3 linked regions of the Arabidopsis thaliana genome follow. The main gene of each other region encodes a partner of the protein of the gene in region 2 in a complex. Each region holds a gene or a part of one and is shown on either strand. Other genes may lie near its edges. The genes, in order: EIF3K, TRIP-1 and TIF3B1.

Region 1 (4,804 bases), on a different chromosome or scaffold from region 2:
AATGCGAAAACTAACACGAGCAAGAAACGAATTTTTTAATAGAAAACAAAATAAGAAACAAAAATTAAACACGGAAACTCTAGAAAATTTGTTTAAAAACAGAAGGCACCAAATTTCTTCTGGATAAGATTTGAAATCAATTTCCAAAAGGGAACCAATTAACCATAATCTCAAAGAAAAGTGCCAAGCTGAGAACATAGAAAGGGGAAAACAGTTTTCCTCAATTTCTCTCAGATTAATACCCAACAAAGAAAGAAAAAAAAGCCACCTTTGAAATTGAAGAAATACAAGAGAGAGACGGTAAGAAGATTTACATAAACGAAGATTTGCAGTTTCTTTTTTGGTGCTCGTCTGGCTTTCTTTTGTTTTTCCTGTCTCTCCCGTTTTTATGTTCACGACTTGTCTGTCTGATCGTTTGCCTTTGTTTATTTCACTTTTTATTCACGTATTTATCACCCTTCTTTATATCCTCCACGTATCTTAATTAAATCTAACTTGTTCACTTCAATCACATATTGTATCTTCATTAGTCTTCATTATGTCGACTAAATAAAATAGAAAAAACAAATCATTAGGTTCATGATTGTCAAAAAAACAATTATAAATAAAACACCGTTCATTGTTGTCGATCAAATTGAAAATTTATATATTATATTCATAAAATTCAATTATTTATTCTGTTAAGCAATTCAAAAAAGTCTCATATATGTACAAAATTACAAAACTAGTTACATCAAAATCAAAAGTTATGATCTTGGGAATAACCTAGTTGTTAGTAGAATAATAGTATTGTTTTAAGCAATCATCTTAGATACGAGATGATCTAACTAATTATAGTTTAATCAGTCAAATTTATCACATAGGGAGCAGTCAAAATATGCATGGGAAAAGAGAAAATTGTGCACGTGACATGATTTGGTGTCAACATGTGAGCTTCCAAATGGATGGCTGTCAATCTTCGTATGTGATCTGTGTAGAGAGGACGACAAGACATAGACAGTCTCTTTGTATTTCAAACTTTCTCAATACAAATTTGCCGTGTCAGTTTCTATATTCCAAGAAACCTAAACAAAAGTTTTTTTTTTCCTTTGCTTTTTAAAGAAGACAATTGTTTGGGTTGTCTGAAGATTCGTTTAGTTTATTTAGATGTAATGAAGTAAACAGAAGATAATCAATCAGAAACGAGCCAATTCCAACACTTGTTGAGAAACCAGTATTGGAATCCATGGAAGGTAAAAAAAAAGGTAAGAAGCAGAGCTCAGACTATGAAGATCTACTAATTATGGCAAAGTCTCGGTCTACTAGATTTTTAAGAAAATCTGTCAAATTGCAAAGAGGAAGGCCATTGCCAAAATTCACATTACGGTGTCTTAAAAGTGTACATCACAAGATAACAAGAGACAAAAGGAAAATTTGCAGTGTTCTCATGAATTGGTTCAACCAAGGATGGGGAAGATGCGGGCAATGTGTTCCAAGGGAACATTCTCACCTGTATTTTTCTTGAGCTCCGGATGGTTAAATTCATTTTGTGGTAAGACAATACTTCCACCCTCTTTCTCAACAATCCATCCACTGTTAGTCACTTGCTGCTCGATGAATTTGTCTAGAGATGCACCATCCATGTTAACAGCCTGTGAAAATTGTCATTTATTGACAAATAAAAGGTCAACAAATTAGATTTCCAGAACTATGATGTGGAATATTCGTAACAGAAAATTATATGAGAAAGTAAAAGATTTCACATCCGAAGTTCTACTATTTTGATGACTTAAGCTATCCGTGGTGAAAACGAGATCATAAACCAAACATCATACCTCAGCCAGCACTGATCTTGGAACCTTTTGGTAGCTTAAGCTAAGAAGGTGACTTGCATATGCTTGAATAGCTTGCTCAAAACCTGCATTTAATCTCTCGCATATAAGACATCTACACTAGACACAATCATAAAATGAATAGACAGTACCATAAACCACTACTGAGGACTTTGTTCGTACCATAAGACATCTACACACAAATATCCTTAAGTAACAAATCTACATCTAGAAATTTGTTATTAGTAGACGATTTATTTATGATTCAGAAGTTAGTTACCTGGAACAGCCTCGAGAATGTGACGGTTCTTGGCAGCTTCATCCCAGAACTGTTGGAACCTCCCAGTCTGCAAAAGAAAAACAAGTGCTTTAAATACTCAATGCACACCTTTTCAACTCTCAACTAACTAATACTGATGTTTGCGTACCTCAAGGTAGTGTGATAGAACAATTAGTGACTTGAACTGCTCCTCCATTTGCTGAAACACACAATCCAAACAAGTACATTTATTAGTCCTCAAGAATCCAACACATTGAAACTCACACTTTATCATGAATGCTCAGTACACAGACTGAACTGACAGAAATAACTTGGAATGGCATAATAACTTGAGTCAGAAACATTTGAACAATCGTTTCTTCTGTATCTACGATAAGCTATATATGTAAGAAAGCAAAACATTGTGAAGTTAAGAGGAAAGAAGAATACCACTCTTTCGGGAATCAAGAAGAGGCAAAGGCTGAAGTCTGGAGTTGGCATAGCCATAAGAGCCTTGACCAAGATTCGAGCCACGATATGAGTGTTCATGCGCTCAGGCTCAAACTGCATAAAAGCAACAATACCAATTAACGAAAAGAGACACTAAAACTCTTGAATTTGGTATCAAAAGGTCCAGCTTAAGAACAACTAGAGCACCTGATAGAGCCGAAGCAAGCATAGGTTTACTTCCAGACTATACGTTTGCGATGTAACCTGAAAATCATAACGAAACCAACAACAATCAATGGAACACGATTTCTACAACAGAATCCGGCTTGAGAGAAAAGGGAAAGGAAACTGCACGTTAACGTAGTTTTCGAGATCAGGCAGGATTTCAGGGTTGAAAGGATTAAGGGCGACGAGCTGCTCAACGGTGTAAGAGCTCTGTTCCTGCGGCGATTGGATCTCTACTCCCATCTCTGCCTCTTTCTCCTTCTCCGTTTCTGTCCCTTTTGCGTCGGTCTCTTCGAACTTTGATAGATCACTGAGGAATGTGCAGAGGAGATTCGCTGATAAGACGAATCTAGGGTTTAAAAGCCAAAACGACAAAGCTTTGTCGTTTGGGCTAATGGTGCAATTGACAAAACGTTTGGGTTAAATTAGGATGACAGAGAAACTACAAAGGGTTGTTTAGTAAATAACTATTTTTAAGCCATTTTGATGCCACAGACTCGGTAAATAAATATTTTCTCAGTTTGCTTTTAAAGATTGATACTACACTAGAGTTTGCATTCGATTAACCATGGTCCAAAAGTTCACCAGTGAACATCTTTTCAAACAAAACTGTCAGCATCTACGAGTTCTCTGATCACAACTTCATGAAGTCTCACTTTGTTTCCAGTAGAATAATAAATGTGGATATCCTTCAAGAGTATAAAATCATAATCTTTCTTTTTTCAAATTTCAATATATACAAGTAATCTTTATATTCACGAAGAATGAATCCTTTGGTAATAAAATAAAAATAAAAATATATAGTTTCTTTTTGTAACAATCAATGGGTTTTCCTTGTTGTTTTAGTCTTCAACAGCTTCATCGAATACGATTCACATGAGAAAATGGCTCGGCAACTGCTTTTGGTGCAGCTTTTTTTGCAGTCTCTGGTACTCCAAAAACGTTCCAAAACCTCAGGGTCTCGTCTCCTGCTGCTGAAGCTACAGTACAACCATCTGGACTCTGTAGAAAACACAACAAACAACACAAGTTTAAGGACTGAATGACCTCAAAGACTCAAACTACTTCACCACTTAAAGAAATTGATGACGTTACCTGGGCCATATATAGAACTCTTGATGTATGACCAGTGAGCTCAGCCATTTTCACCATGGATGGGTACTTCCAAAGTGTAAGCTGATTCTGTGTAAACCCATGTGAGCTAAGCAACTCTCTTTCATTCTTGCTCCATAACAACGAACAAACTTGGGAACCAGTGTCTACTGAATTCAAGCAAGCCCCAGTGTGAGTATTCCAGAACTTTATCGTCCTGTCTCCTCCACCACCACCAGTTGCAAGCAAATTCGCTTGGAAAGGGCACCACGCAAGAGCCTTCACAGCAGATGTATGTTCCTCAAGCCTGTGCAGCCATTGTGTGGTTGAGTTTGAGGAAGCGACAGAACGATCCCAGATGTGTACCACATTGTCGTTGCCACCACTTGCTAGTTGTTGTCCAGATCCTGACCACTTGAGCCCACAAACTTCTTGAGTGTGACCTCTGTAAGTTTCCACAATGGGTGATCTGATCCTCACATCATTGTTGATGATCAGTCCATCCATTCCTCCAGTAGTAAGGATATGATTGTTCCATGCCAGTGATCCTACTCTTGACTGGTGACCACCCTTTAATGTTCTCAGCTGCAGAAATATGAGAAACACATCAGACTAAGAACACCGGATATTATATCTCAACATAAAAGAGAGAGAGTAGTAATTACTTGACGGTTGGATGCAGAATCCCACAGCTGGACTTCAGAGTTGTTGAGTCCAACTGCAACATGACGACCATCAGGAGCCCAGTTGATACTTGTGACAGGTCCCTTCTCCTCATCAATGGTCACAAGCTCAGATGTAGAACCAGTGGAAGCATCCCACAAGTAGACAGTGTGGTCCAACGCTATGGCTAAGACATTTGCACTTCCCCAGTCCAGCAAGTTGAGGTAGAAATCGTCAACAATGTCAGGTGCATCCAAGGTTCTCTCAGAAGTCTGTTAATCACAACAGAAAGTTTAGCAACAGA
Region 2 (7,145 bases):
CTAGAACCTCACTTATTGCATGTTTCCAGGCAGATGAACCGAAACTTAAAAGAAGTCGAGAGGGAACTCCAACAAAAGGTATATAGCCTTATTCATGTCCCAAAGAGTTAGAATCAGTGTAAATATTAGATATAATGGGAGTTTTAATTCGGTTTTTTTGGCAGATGGGAAACAATTGGTTCAAGCTAGCTCATTTCATTCTGTTTCTCCGTCAAGTGGTGATACCGGCGTAAAACTCATTCAAGGATCTGGAGCTATACTCTCTCCTGGTGTAAGTGCAAATTCCAACCCCTTCATGTCACAATCTTTAGCCATGGTTCCTCCTGAAACTTGGCTTCAGGTACCCTGTGACTTATTCTCAACTTCCACTTGTTGGATTTTCGAGCTAATCTGATCCGTTTCCCTGACCAAGTATTAAATTTTGTCTTCAGAACGAGAGAGAACTGAAACGGGAGCGAAGGAAACAGTCTAATAGAGAATCTGCTAGAAGGTCAAGATTAAGGAAACAGGTTTGGTTACTGAAAGAATACACTGAAGCTCTTTAGAAATTCTTTCTCTTAGTGTGTAACTCTCACCAAAACATTTAATAAACTAACAAACTGTCTTTCCTTGTTTTGAAGGCCGAGACAGAAGAACTTGCTAGGAAAGTGGAAGCCTTGACAGCCGAAAACATGGCATTAAGATCTGAACTAAACCAACTTAATGAGAAATCTGATAAACTAAGAGGAGCAAATGCAACCTTGTTGGTAAGTAAGCTATCATTAACCAACAAATTATCTTTATGAAGGCGTGTCATTTTCTTGAACATGGCCGGTTCTTTTTGGGTTGCAGGACAAACTGAAATGCTCGGAACCCGAAAAGAGAGTCCCCGCAAATATGTTGTCTAGAGTTAAGAACTCAGGAGCTGGAGATAAGAACAAGAACCAAGGAGACAATGATTCTAACTCTACAAGCAAATTGCATCAACTGCTCGATACGAAGCCTCGAGCTAAAGCAGTAGCTGCAGGCTGATCGATGGTAATTCATGTCGATTTCTACTTAATTTGTCGACATAAACAAAGAAAATAAGTGCTACTAATTTCAGAAAAACTTGATAGATAGTATAGTAGAGAGAGAGAGAGAGAGAGAGGTGTGATGATTATTGATCTATAAATTTTCGGAGAGAGAGAGGGAGAAAGAGAAACTTTTCCTCCAGATGAAAATTTGGTGTTATGGTTTGTTACTGTTAATATAGAGAGGCTTTTCTTTTTTTATAAAATGGCTTCCTTTGTTGCATTTCCTTGTTTTAGACCTGATGTAATTTTATGAAATCGGTGTTATTGCTTTGCGTAAGCTTTTGTTTCTTTTGTCAAGGTTTCATGCATAAAGGATCTTTCTTTTCAGGTTTCATACATCTCTCTCCGAAAATTTATAGATCCAATAATCATCACGAATATCACAAACATTATGAGTCTGTCTTTGGGTGATTTTCTTCGCTACTCTTGAGGACTGTCAATCACACAAGGCATTCTTTTCTACAACCGAGTTTATTTTATAAAAGCTGAATATTAATGCTCGCTCACACATAGAGCAGGTTAATTAACTTGTACTGAGAACTCTGGAAATGAAAACTAAAGATTCTGTCAAAATTCAAAAGCTTTATCATCAAGGTATTTGTATTGGTAGTAAATAAAAACATGAAAATGTTAAAAGAGAGAGAAAACAAAATCCGGAATGGGAGACTTTTTCAAAGATTCTAAAAGGTTGACGTTCAAGTAGTCGGAATCTAAATCTTGATGTTGAAGTAGTCGGAGTCAAAATGATGCAGCCTCACGTAACCGTCTTCACCTCCACTAGAGAAACTGAAATATACATTCCACAAACTCAGTGAGAGAGCCAAAACACACACTCAAAACCTCATCATGTGAGGATTGTGTCAATCAATCAAAATCCAAATGTTGTTAATTTACCTCTTCCCATCAGGATTGAATGCCAAAGCATTTATAGGTCCAAAATGACCTTTCACACCACCAATTTCCTCTTGCAGAATCTATATATTATACCAAACACAATGATACACGGTTATTTAAATATGTGTATTTTCCAGGTTACATGTTTCCAAGTAAAACACTCTTATTATAAACACTAACCTTGTCGTAAAACTTAGCTTCAAACTTTCCAGCACGATGATCAGTGGTAGTCACAGCTGATGCATCTTGACCACCTCCAAGTACAACCTAAAAGAGAGAGCAGAAACATTCACAAAGATAACATCATGCCTTGCTGATTCTGGGATTCGAAATTGAATTTCATGAAGCATTAGTGCATACATGGTTGAGAAGTGGAGACAGGGAGACAGCATTTACGGGCACCACAGTGGTGTAAGTCTTAAGAAGAGTCAGCGTTCTCATGTCCCAAAGCTGAAACAATCAACAAAAGAGAACACTCTATTAGATGATTTATATCTATATGTATAGTGCAAAAATTTGAAACAAGATATACTGTACAAGTAAAAGAAAGAAGCACATGCCTTTGCAGTTTTGTCAAGTGAACCTGTAAGGAAGTGAGAGTCATCAGCTGCTTTGCAGAGCGATGTAATGTCCTTCTTGTGACCCACTTCCTCATCTGATTGCTTGAGCAATTTTCCCGTCTAGTAACAATGGCAGTAGCACCACATAAGGTTTAGTTCATAACCTTAAAAGAGAGAAATTAATACACAAGTAAGGCCTTAAGAAAAATTGAAATACCTCGGCATCCCAGATTCTGATAACTTTATCTTCACCACCACTAACAATAGTTTGGTTCAGGGGACCCCAAACAGCTCTATTGATCCTCTTCTTTCCATCAGGACAATGAAGGACAAGCACAGACTCAGCATCCTCTACACAATTGCATCAAACAAACAATTTCCTTTTAACACATACAAGAAGTTGGCTAAAACGTAAGTAGTAATTCAGCTAGGAATGTACAACTTACGTTCCTCAGGATCTTCCGCAATACGCTTCACATGAATAGCAGCGGTACGGTCCACGAAGTGATCAGTGGTAATCACTGCAAGACGATCTCCAACAGCGAAATCCACAGACCTCGTAGGGGCATTAAACTTGAAAGTGAACAATTCTTTTCCAGATTTTACATCCCACAGCTTTGCAGTCTGATCAGCACTACCAGTGATCAATCTTGACGAGTCTCCTAAGAAATCACTAAACATTCAGCTTTGAAAGACTAAGACGACAGAATTCACTCGATACTATAAACCCTAAACAAGCTTGTAGCTAAGGGGAAACAATGAATCTAATCATCGACTCGATACTATTTGAAGAGAAATTGAGAAACTTACGGGAGACATCACAGCACCAAACAGCACCGTTGTGACCACGGTAAGTTCCAAGGCGCTCGCCGTTATCGGCAAACCAGAGGGTGGGTGTGTGGTCCTTGGCGCAGGAGAAAAGCAGATCTCCTTCTCTGTTGTACCTCAGAAACGTCAATGGACGTTCATGTCCCTTCATCAGGATCGGCCTCATCTTCAGTTTCTTAGGGTTTGATGCGAATCTTTGAAACAGATACGAAATCGAATCAATCAAAAGACAAGAAAAATAATTGAAGAAACGATTACGGAAAACGGCTTTCTTCTTCACCTGTTCACTTGAAGACGAGAGAGACGACGAGGAAGAAGTGCAAAAACCCTAGGAAATCAACTTTGTCCTCTCTTTTGACACTTTTACCCTTTTGTAATTTTTTAAATTACTCGAGATGCCACAGTTTAGCAAAGCTCAGTGGCTTCAGCGTTTTTAGCTTCTTCCCTATTTGATGAGTTCGAACCTCGCCCGTTGCGCCTATTTTGTTTTTTTCCTTTCTCAAAAGCAGTTTCATACGTTTTTTTTTTGTGGGTGCATATGTCTATTTGAAAAGACAAACAACAAGCTTTATCATCAAAGTAGTATATTGGTAATTTGGTAGTACATCAATTCTGAAAATGTTAAAAAGAGAGAAAATATTATGTGGAATGATGAAAAAATGGAAAGACATGTTCAAAGAATCTAAATCTTGATGTTGAAGTAATTGGAGTCAAAATGATGCAGTCTCACGTAGCCGTCTTCACCTCCACTAGAGAAACTGAAAATACATTCCAAAAAACACTCAGCAACAAAGCCTAAAAAACACTCTCATCAACTGAGGATTGTATCAATCAATCAAAATCAAATTTTGTTAGTTTACCTCTTCCCATCAGGACTGAATGCCAAAGCATTAATAGGTCCAAAATGACCTTTCACGCCACCAATTTCCTCTTGCAGAATCTATATATTATAAGACCAAATACACAGTTACATATCTCTTTCCAGGTTACAAGTTTTTAAATAAAACTGTTTTACTGCAACACTAACCGTGTCGTAAAACTTAGCTTCAAACTTCCCAGCACGATGATCAGTGGTAGTCACAGCTGATGCATCTTGACCACCTCCAAGCACAACCTAAAAGAGCGAGAGCAGAAACATTCACAAAGATAACATCAAGACTTGTTGCTTTTGGGAACCGAATTTGAATTTCAAGAAGCATTAGTGCATACATGGTTGAGAAGTGGAGACATGGCGACAGCATTTACAGGCACCACAGTGGTGTAAGTCTTAATAAGAGTCAGCGTTCTCATGTCCCAAAGCTGAAAGAATCAACAAAAAGAACACTCTATTAGATGATTTATCTCTATATGTAATATGTATAGAGCATATTTTTGAAACAAGTAAAAGAAAGAAGCACATGCCTTTGCAGTTTTGTCATGTGAACCTGTAAGGAAGTGAGAGTCATCAGCTGCTTTGCAGAGGGATGTAATGGCCTCCTTGTGACCCACTTCCTCATCTGATTGCTTAAGCAATTTTCCAGTCTAGTAACAATGGCAGTAGCACCACATAAGGTTTAAGCTAATAAAAAAAAAAAGAGAGATATTGATAGACAAAAGAAAGGCCTTAAGAAAGTTGAAATACCTCTGCATCCCAGATTCTGATAGCAGCATCTTCACCACCACTAACAATGGTTTGGTTCAGGGGACCCCAAACAGCTCTATTGATCTTCTTCTTTCCATCAGGACTTTGAAGGACAAGCACAGAATCACCAACCTCTACATCAATTACATTAAATCAATTCCTTTTACCCATACAAAAAAGACATAGGCTAAAAAACATAAGTAGATTTTAACTTAGAATTGACAACTTACGGTCTTCGGGATCTTCTGCAATGCGTTTGACATGAATAGCAGAGGAAGTTCCCACGAAGTGATCAGTGGTAATCACTGCAAGATGATCACCAACAGAGAAATCCACAGACCTTGCAGGGGCACCAAACTTGAAAGTGAACAATTCTTTGCCAGATTTCACATCCCACAGCTTTGCAGTCTGATCAGCACTACCAGTGATCAATCTAGACGAGTCTCCTAAGAAATCACAAACAAAACACTAATCGTTAAGCTATGAAAGACTAAAACAACAAAGACAACGACTTAAATCCTAAACTGAATCCATTCCATCCACTATATACTATTTGAATTTGAGAGGCTGAGACCACTTACTGGAGATATCACAGCACCAAACAGCACCACTGTGGCCACGGTAAGTGCCAAGACGCTCGCCGTTATCGGCAAACCAGACTGTGGGAGTGTGGTCTTTGGCGCAGGAGAAAAGCAGATCACCATTTCTGTTGTACCTCAGGAACGTCAATGGACGTTCATGTCCCTTCATCAAAATCGGCCTCATCCTCGTTTCTAGGGTTTGATGAGAGGAGCTTTTCATCTTGCAAACAGATACGAAATCAATTCAATAGAAAGAACAAAAGATAATACATTAATCGGAAACAAGTACATGACCAAACGGAGGAAGAGATATGTGCACATACTTGGTTGAATCGAAGACCTTCGGGATTAACGCACTCAATTGTCATGACGGAGGAGGCGACGGTTGAAGGACGACGGATTTGATCAGCGAGCGTTCTCTGAGATTTTGAGGGCTTTAAGTGGTGAATCGTTAAACCGGTGAGCGTACCATTGGTAAATAACTCCGAATAGAGCCACGTGGCAGTAATGGGCTCGAAACAGAGTCCACCTGGCCTAAACATCTAATCTGTAGGCCCATGCCACTTTGGATGTATCAAACTCAATATGATTATCAGTTATAAATTAATCGACTAATCTAATAACTGAAATTTGAATATTTCAATGAATGTAGGAAGAAGAGAAAAAAGAGGGAACACGTCAGCAACAAAAACGGCGCGCGTGAGTCTCGGGCCTAAAACGAAATCCCTTCCTCACGTCTCAGCCTTCTTCCATTAACGAGAGAGAAGAGACAACGCAACACAAAAAAACATTCTCTTCTCTCTCTCTCTCTTCCAAAAACTCAAAATCTCTTAGAAACCAAGTTTGCCTGCAATCATCATCATCATAGCATCTCTCTCTCCATTTTGAAGATTTCGTTTTGATCTTCCTTGATACGATTTATCAGGAGATCGTCAGAGAGGTGAATAATTAAGAGAAAAAAGATGGCAGATTATCAGATGAACCCGGTTCTTCAAAAGCCACCAGGTTACAGAGATCCAAACATGTCCTCTCCTCCTCCTCCTCCACCTCCCATTCAACAACAACCTATGAGAAAAGCCGTCCCTATGCCTACTTCTTACCGACCAAAGAAAAAACGTAGAAGCTGTTGTCGTTTCTGTTGCTGTTGCATCTGCATTACTCTTGTTCTCTTCATCTTCCTCCTCTTGGTCGGAACAGCTGTTTTCTACCTCTGGTTCGATCCTAAGCTTCCCACTTTCAGCCTCGCTTCCTTCCGTCTCGACGGCTTCAAACTCGCCGACGATCCCGACGGCGCGTCTCTCTCCGCCACCGCCGTTGCCCGCGTTGAGATGAAGAATCCGAACTCGAAACTCGTTTTTTACTACGGAAACACTGCCGTTGATTTGAGCGTTGGTTCGGGAAACGATGAGACCGGGATGGGAGAGACGACGATGAATGGATTCCGACAAGGTCCCAAAAACTCGACGAGCGTGAAAGTGGAGACGACGGTGAAGAATCAGCTCGTGGAGAGAGGATTGGCTAAGAGACTCGCTGCGAAATTTCAGAGCAAAGATTTGGTCATTAACGTTGTTGCCAAGACTAAAGTTGGATTAGGTGTCGGCGGTAT
Region 3 (7,145 bases), on a different chromosome or scaffold from region 2:
TTTGCTATCTCTTCTTCCTTCTCTGCAGTCAAGAATGATGGAGGTCTTGGACGCCAAGCCAACTGTGTAACCAACCATACACAAATATTTTATTAGACATCGGAATGGACGATGCTCGTTTAAGACCGAGTTTTTCTTGTTACATACCTGGAAGAAATGATCCTTCAATATCCGGTAAAGCATAATCCCGTTGAAAGACCATATGGTGAACCCATTCTCCATCTCATGGACTGATGTCACTGCGGTTGCAACGTACCTTTGAAAATAAAAAAGTGCAAACAACATCAGCAATTGGAACAAATAGAAACAACCAAAGGACTGGTTTAGTTAAGACAGTAGGACCTTCCAGTCGGGTCCCATTCGATATCCGTGGCCATGAAGTGTTCAGCTGTGGCCATTGTCTCGAGCTCATCCACGTTGAAAAATTCAAGCTGGCCATTGAAACCTTTTAACCCAGCAAGAATTATGTACTTGCCTGTGGGCGACCAGAAGAGGGCATTAGCTTGTTTGGCCTTCAAAGTTGCGAGCTTTGAAACCCTTCCAGTGTTTTGTGCGGTCTTCATTGAGTAGAAACTGACATCTGGTCTTGGTTGGTCACCATGAATCACAGCAAACCTGTGACCCTTGGGCTCCCATGCAAAAGCAATGATCTTGTCGTTCTTGTTGTCCAGCTCAAGAACCTCGATGGGAATATCCCTTTCTTTGATACGGAAAAGTTCAAATCCAGAGTATGTGCTCTTCTTAGTTTTTGTGTATCGATCAACCTTGACAGCAAGATACTCTCCACTACTCTGCCAGTACATCTTGCAGTCGCTCACACTGAAGAGATTCTTCTGCCTCAGCTCCACCTTGCTCGGGATTTGGACTAGGGCAACCTGAAGAAGGGATATCAACATGTAATTTCAAAACACCAGGCAGAGAAACAGAAGCAAATTAAGGATTCAGAGCTTTTCATGTACATCAGAAATAATAGAAACATACCTTCGCAGGTTGGTTTCCACCACCTTGTTCAGGAACAAACAATGAAAGGATGGAATCAGTAGGAGACCAGCAGATATCCACAACATTATCTACCTTCATGGATTTCTTGTCTATTAGGCTGAAAGTCTCAGTCTCATAGACAGAGATAGTGTTTTTGCTAAGCTTGGCAAAGTATTTATCATCTTTTCCACCAGCCCATCTGTAGAAAAAGTTTACAAGATATCAACATATGTCCATAATAGTGGAGAAGATGATAATATTGGCTGTTTATTTTTAGGACATTGACATGCAGTTGAAAGAATTACCTGAAAACAGGCCAAGAGGCACCAGCAACACCACCAGGTCCTCCAATTGAAAACTCATCAGCACTACCCTTGAAATCTCTCATCATCCTCCCGGTTCTCACATCAAAAACCTTAATCTCAACTTTCTGAAAGTTTGACAGAATTCAGCGTCACAAATAGTAAAAGTTGAAAAGAACAGAAGAAAAGATGCACTCACACTTGCATCTCGCGGGTTGCTTGGTTCTTGGCTATGGTAAGTTACAAGATATTTCTCACCTGGCGAGAAATCAACTAGTTTTACCTAAAACATAATCAACAAAAGATGCAATTTTCAGGCCAACAGAGGAAAAACGGAAGTAATATGTAGCAATTGAAAGGAAATTCAAACCATAGAATGCTGATAACGCATGAGACGCGTGAATGTATCAGCACCACCCCAAACAGCTGCCCCCTGCTTGTGGAGTGTCACAAGGTATGTACCTAAAGGAGACCACTGCACATAACTCTCTGTCCAATACTGCATAGGAAGAGAACATCATTAATTCAAATGAAGGTAACATAACATATAAAAGTGCTCTAAACAGTCAAGTAAACAAATAAGGGATATTAATTCAAATGAAGGTAACATAACATATACATTGCTCTAAACAGTCAAGTAAACAAAAGGGATATACACACAGGAAGTAACTTACAGGACGCTTATGAACAGGTTCAGGCGCCTTCTGCCTAGTATCATTCCAGAAAACTTCAGTATCAGGGCCAGAACGAATGACTAGCTGGTCTCGGGCTTTTTCATCAGTAAGCCATTTTTGCAAATTTTCCTGAAAAAACAAACACCATATAAGTAACGACAATTAGCACCACAAAAGGCTGCAATGAATTAAAATATATACATGAAACAAGAGTTATGAAATTATAGTTATTAGTTAGTATACATCAATTACGTAAAAAGATCCTAACCCTAACGCAGCAGGCAAACACAAAATAAATCAGCGAATTACCAAAATAAAGAAGTGATTACACAGACACAATGGAAGTTATTCAAAGAAAATTATTCAAGGTACAGGGAGTAACATGATGAAAACTACACATACCCCAGGGACGTAGGGCCTGGCCTGAGGAGGCTCCCACTCCTCCTTCACATTCATCAACCTGTCAAAATCATCGAACATGTTTACAGCAAAGATGTGAGACTTGTCCAACTTGTAGCCATGAGACTTTTCCTTAGCGTTTTGTGCTTCCTGCAAAGAGCCCCAGACATTGAGAGAAACTCTTAGGAAATACTCAACCATTAAGAACAACCTAGTTTGGGCTCCTTTCTAACAAGAGAAATAAAGTATTGAAACATATGACGCCGACATTATTGCTTCAGAATCCAACAAAACAGAGATTAAGCTAATCAAGTAGATAAATAACCTGAGGAGTGTTGAACTCAATAAAACAGTAGCCCAATGTCATCTTGGTATCGGGATCAACAGGCATCCACAGTCCATTTTCCTTAATCACACCTAACTGGTTGTAAATTTTCTTGACAACACCTTCAAGTTTCTCAAACTTCTCCTTGGGAACAACAGGGAGGTGATCGACCACGATAATGTTACCGAATCCAGTGTCGAATTCAGACTGGTCATCCTGGTAAACAGCTTCATCATCACTACAACCATCACAGAAAAAAAAAGTGTATAACGAATCAGTTCCATTTTTCATACGTTCATAGATAAAATGTATAAATATAATAAGCTTTGCACCATCAAGGAAAGAGATAAACCAATTCGAAATACACAAAATTTTCATACATACAATAGCAAAACCTAGAATAAAATCATCCCATCGTATAAACACAAGAAGATTAGAAATAGAAGTGACCGTATATGAACAACCAGAGATCTAAAGGAAAATCTCACCTCTCGATCCCAAAGTCTTCTCCAGGAGGAAGTTGGATGGAATCAAAATTAACCTGAGACCAATCAATCCCTAACTTAGCAGCTCGGGCATCAATATCAACGACCTCCATGATTTCAAACCTTATATCAAAAATCTGCCAAAGAAAGCCATATAGAGAGAGCTATCAGTCTTTAACACATTCCAACTTTAAGTCGATAAATAAATGTGAAAAATCTGAGTCTTTAGATCTAAAAGTAGGTTTTTTGTTAACCCTAAACAAGTATTAAAACAACAAACTACCATGGCCAAATGTTCAAAGACTAAAACTTTGAATCATCACTCCCACTATAATGTAAATCTAAAACCATGCCTATAGAAATTATTAACTATACTCTAGTTTTATTTAATCTAGAACCCAACAACAGGTGAAATGGAGAAAAATGGCAAAATTTTCCTGAAGGCTCTCTTATATCTATTGCATCGTTCTGGATCCTGTCTCATAGCTACATAAGAAAAGACAAAAAAAACAAATGAACACTGAAATCGAGATAAGAAACGTACCCAATACAGAGATCAGCCGAGAGCAAAAAACAAAGAAGAAGACGGCGCTTGAAGGTGAGGAAGAAGGAGCGATTGTTTTCAGGTCTTTTTGGATCATACGACGTCGGTTCCTTAAACGGGCTTATAAATATTTATATGGGCCGGGTAAGCCCAATTCAATAGTAATCAGTAGATCTAATTTATTGTCTTTCTCTCGATTAGCTTTTTTTTTTTTTTAACAATAATCCGTCTCTTTCATTTGGTGTCCTCGAGAACCAAATTCGGATAATCTCTCATCGGAGGATCGTTGTTGTTGTTGCTAGGGTTCTTATCGATTTGTAATGTACAAAACTAAATTAATCCCGGTGATGAACGAGGATGCTGTGATTGTTCAACAAACGGATTCGATTCAGGATCCTAAGGTAACTCCAGATGATACTGTAGTTGATTCGAGCGGGGATGTTCACGAAGCCATTGATGATGATGTTGAAGCTTCTTCACCTATGGAGCTAGATTCGGCGGTTACAAATGACGCTAGGGTTCTCGAAAGTGAGAGATCGGAGAAAGATGGTGTCGTAGGGAGTGAGGAGGAAGATGAGATTAAAAGCGAGGATGTTTTAATTGATAAGGATGATGAGAGTTCTGAGGTTAAAGAAGAAGAAGAAGAAGAAGATGGCTCTGATGATCAATCTAGTGAGCTTGGTTCTGAAGCTGATGAGAAGGAATTAGATTTGGGTTTGAAGGAAGAGAAAAAAGGAGTTTCGGATTATAAATCTCTTTTATCTGAGTTTGATGATTATGTTGCAAGTGAGAAAATGGGTTCTGGAGTTTCGAGGGCATTGAGTTATGGGTTTGAAGTTGGAGATTTGGTTTGGGGAAAGGTAAAGTCTCATCCTTGGTGGCCTGGTCATATATTCAATGAAGCTTTTGCGTCTCCTTCTGTTCGTCGTATGAGGAGGATTGATCATGTTCTTGTTGCGTTTTTCGGTGATAGTAGTTATGGTTGGTTTGATCCTGCTGAGCTTATTCCTTTCGAACCGAATTTAGAGGAGAAATCACAGCAGACGGTTTCGAAGCATTTTGTGAGAGCTGTGGAGGAAGCCAAGGATGAGGCGAGTAGAAGGTCAGCTCTTGGTTTGACTTGTAAATGTCGGAATCCTTATAACTTTAGGCCTAGTAATGTGGAAGATTACTTTGCTGTTGATGTGCCTGATTACGAGCTTCAAGCCGTTTACTCTGTTGATCAGATTAAGAATTCTAGGGATAAGTTTTTACCCGCTGAAACCATTTCGTTTGTGAAGCAATTGGCGTTAGCACCTCAAGAGTGTGATCCAGACAGTTTAAAGTTTATGAAGAAGAAAGCAGTGGTTTTTGCTTTCCGCAAGTCAGTGTTTGAGGAGTTTGATGAAACTTATGCACAGGCCTTTGGGACAAAATCACCCCGCAGTTCAGTGAGTACGCTGGAACCTCATAATAGAGCACCGCCTCGAGGTATTAGCCACTTTTCAGAAAATCATGTTATTGTTTGTATATGGGTTTTTTCGTTGTAGACTTGAAACAGCTTTCATATGTGTTACATAGATATTAGATACTGTAACTTGGTTTTAGGGTTTTACTTTTAGATCCTCTGTGCTCATGATTTTAGGATTTATATCTTTGTAGTTGAATTCTTTACATAGCATGCTTGAAAGAATAGTGAAGTCTCATTGATGCTAAACTGTGCATTCGAAAACGTGGCCTGATAACAATTCTGCGCCTCTTTCTACTATGGAGAGTCCCGCATACATTTACCTTGTTTGCTTTATTGTTCATTTTCTTGGTGGGTGATGTGTTGTTTCAATTTCTCTTATTTCCAGCTCCCTTGAGTGGCCCACTGGTCATAGCAGAAACGCTAGGTGACCTTAAGAGCTCTAAAAAACCCACAAAGGTTAAGGTCTCTAAAAAAAAAGACAAGTATCTTCTCAAACGAAGGGATGAAGCTGGTGATAAGTCTGTTCAGTTTGGCGAAATTGAAGCAAGTTCAGAAGCTTCTCATATCCAGGGAATTGATGGATCTTTGGATGGGGATTTTGGGCTGCAGAGAAGAGCTCCGACGCTTCAAACTCCAATGAAAGATGAGAAGTCTGGGATCGTCAGCATGGATTTTGCCTCTTCAAATACAGCTATTCCTGGTAAAGAATTTTCAGCTTCAAAGCCCTCTCTTGATGAAGAAAAGGGTCTAGCTGAAAAATCAAAGGAGAGAATGGAAGAAAGAGCTGCTGTACTTCCAGAGCATGGGAAATCTGAAGCTATGGCGAGTCTTAAACCTAAAGAAGAAGCTGGAACAGATCTTGGATCAGCTGGAAGTTCTCTCCAGCCTCTGCTTGAGTCTCATACCTCAGCATCTGAGGGGAAAAGTTCCACAGGGTCTGTAATCAAGAAAGTCAAAGTTGCTAAACGATCTTCAAGTGAAATGAGCTCGGAGAATCCTCCTTCAGAGCCAAAAAAGAAAAAGAAAAAGAAGAAAGAGCCTGATTCTGACCATCCAGTGAAGAGAAAAAATTTGTATTCTGGGGAAGCTGGGGCCAAGAAATTGTCCCAGCTTGGTTCAGCGCATTTACAAACCTATATGGAAGCCGATGTGCCGCAGCTGTTGAGCCATCTGCAAGATCTCTCTCTTGACCCTTTCCACGGTTTATCCGTTGCTTCTTTTGGAACTGCTAGGAAATTTTTTCTCCGTTTCCGTTCACTTAATTACCAGAAAAGCTTGTCTGTATCTTCCTCTGATGCTACTGTCGAAAATGCCAGAGACACAAAACCCTCAAAACCTGTCAAGACAGTGAAGAGAACCGAAGACCCATCAAAAGCTGGAAAAAAACGGCTCTCTTCTGATCGTCAAGATGAAATCCCATCAGCTAAGAAGCTGAAGAAAACTAATCAGTTGAAATCAATGGCTTCTGAAAAGAAGATCATTCGAGAAGCAAAGGATAGTATAAAACCAATAAGAGAGCCAAGCAGGGTGGTACAAGCAAAACCAGCCAGAGGTCAAACCGGGAAGAAAACAGCTCCATCAGTTAAGGTGGTTGAGCCAACAATGCTGGTCATGAAATTCCCACCTGGCACATCTCTCCCTTCAGCCGCATTGCTAAAGGCGAGGTTTGGTCGCTTCGGGCTGTTAGATCAATCCGCCATTAGGGTTTTCTGGAAATCATCGACCTGCCGTGTTGTCTTTCTGTACAAAGCCGATGCCCAGACTGCTTTTCGATATGCAACAGGAAACAACACTCTATTTGGAAACGTGAATGTAAAGTACTTTCTCCGTGATGTGGATGCTCCTAAAGCCGAGCCTCGTGAGCCAGAAAACACCAAGGAAGATGATGAACCACAGAGCCAGTGGTTGGACCAAGCACCACCGCTTCACCAACCAACATTACCGCCACCAAACGTCAACCTCAAATCCTGTTTGAAGAAACCAGT

What was found.
Region 1: TRIP-1 (region 2) and EIF3K share a complex: the UniProt entries of both Arabidopsis thaliana proteins name them as parts of the eukaryotic translation initiation factor 3 (eIF-3) complex.
Region 3: TRIP-1 (region 2) and TIF3B1 share a complex: the UniProt entries of both Arabidopsis thaliana proteins name them as parts of the eukaryotic translation initiation factor 3 (eIF-3) complex.

Annotation. Positions count from the first base shown.
Region 1 is NC_003075.7:16,037,630-16,042,433, forward strand, and holds EIF3K (eukaryotic translation initiation factor 3K), read right to left. Parts: upstream 3,180-4,804; 5' UTR 2,989-3,179; coding exon 2,875-2,988; intron 2,785-2,874; coding exon 2,728-2,784; intron 2,635-2,727; coding exon 2,521-2,634; intron 2,291-2,520; coding exon 2,240-2,290; intron 2,159-2,239; coding exon 2,092-2,158; intron 1,898-2,091; coding exon 1,815-1,897; intron 1,632-1,814; coding exon 1,437-1,631; 3' UTR 1,022-1,436; downstream 1-1,021. Other genes in the region: CDC20.2 (Transducin family protein / WD-40 repeat family protein), read right to left, coding at 3,604-3,747, 3,841-4,422, 4,503-4,772. UniProt on the Arabidopsis thaliana protein: Component of the eukaryotic translation initiation factor 3 (eIF-3) complex, which is involved in protein synthesis of a specialized repertoire of mRNAs and, together with other initiation factors, stimulates binding of mRNA and methionyl-tRNAi to the 40S ribosome.
Region 2 is NC_003071.7:19,001,891-19,009,035, forward strand, and holds TRIP-1 (TGF-beta receptor interacting protein 1), read right to left. Parts: upstream 3,843-7,145; 5' UTR 3,618-3,842; exon of another isoform or gene 3,532-3,617; 5' UTR 3,504-3,531; coding exon 3,320-3,503; intron 3,172-3,319; coding exon 2,956-3,171; intron 2,861-2,955; coding exon 2,727-2,860; intron 2,630-2,726; coding exon 2,510-2,629; intron 2,400-2,509; coding exon 2,310-2,399; coding exon of another isoform or gene 2,289-2,309; exon of another isoform or gene 2,217-2,288; coding exon 2,130-2,216; intron 2,030-2,129; coding exon 1,950-2,029; intron 1,842-1,949; coding exon 1,766-1,841; 3' UTR 1,268-1,765; downstream 1-1,267. Other genes in the region: GBF3 (G-box binding factor 3), read left to right, coding at 30-78, 165-340, 432-509, 621-746, 832-1,011; AT2G46290 (Transducin/WD40 repeat-like superfamily protein), read right to left, coding at 4,020-4,095, 4,198-4,277, 4,365-4,451, 4,547-4,636, 4,739-4,858, 4,959-5,092, 5,189-5,404, 5,540-5,759 and 1 more; AT2G46300 (Late embryogenesis abundant (LEA) hydroxyproline-rich glycoprotein family), read left to right, coding at 6,502-7,145. UniProt on the Arabidopsis thaliana protein: Component of the eukaryotic translation initiation factor 3 (eIF-3) complex, which is involved in protein synthesis of a specialized repertoire of mRNAs and, together with other initiation factors, stimulates binding of mRNA and methionyl-tRNAi to the 40S ribosome.
Region 3 is NC_003076.8:9,781,481-9,788,625, forward strand, and holds the start of TIF3B1 (translation initiation factor 3B1), read right to left. Parts: upstream 3,809-7,145; 5' UTR 3,711-3,808; intron 3,696-3,710; exon of another isoform or gene 3,304-3,695; 5' UTR 3,280-3,303; coding exon 3,170-3,279; intron 2,920-3,169; coding exon 2,682-2,919; intron 2,585-2,681; coding exon 2,360-2,584; intron 2,087-2,359; coding exon 1,958-2,086; intron 1,783-1,957; coding exon 1,654-1,782; intron 1,567-1,653; coding exon 1,483-1,566; intron 1,412-1,482; coding exon 1,287-1,411; intron 1,181-1,286; coding exon 982-1,180; intron 876-981; coding exon 343-875; intron 257-342; coding exon 148-256; intron 63-147; coding exon 1-62. Other genes in the region: AT5G27650 (Tudor/PWWP/MBT superfamily protein), read left to right, coding at 4,031-5,180, 5,546-7,145. UniProt on the Arabidopsis thaliana protein: RNA-binding component of the eukaryotic translation initiation factor 3 (eIF-3) complex, which is involved in protein synthesis of a specialized repertoire of mRNAs and, together with other initiation factors, stimulates binding of mRNA and methionyl-tRNAi to the 40S ribosome.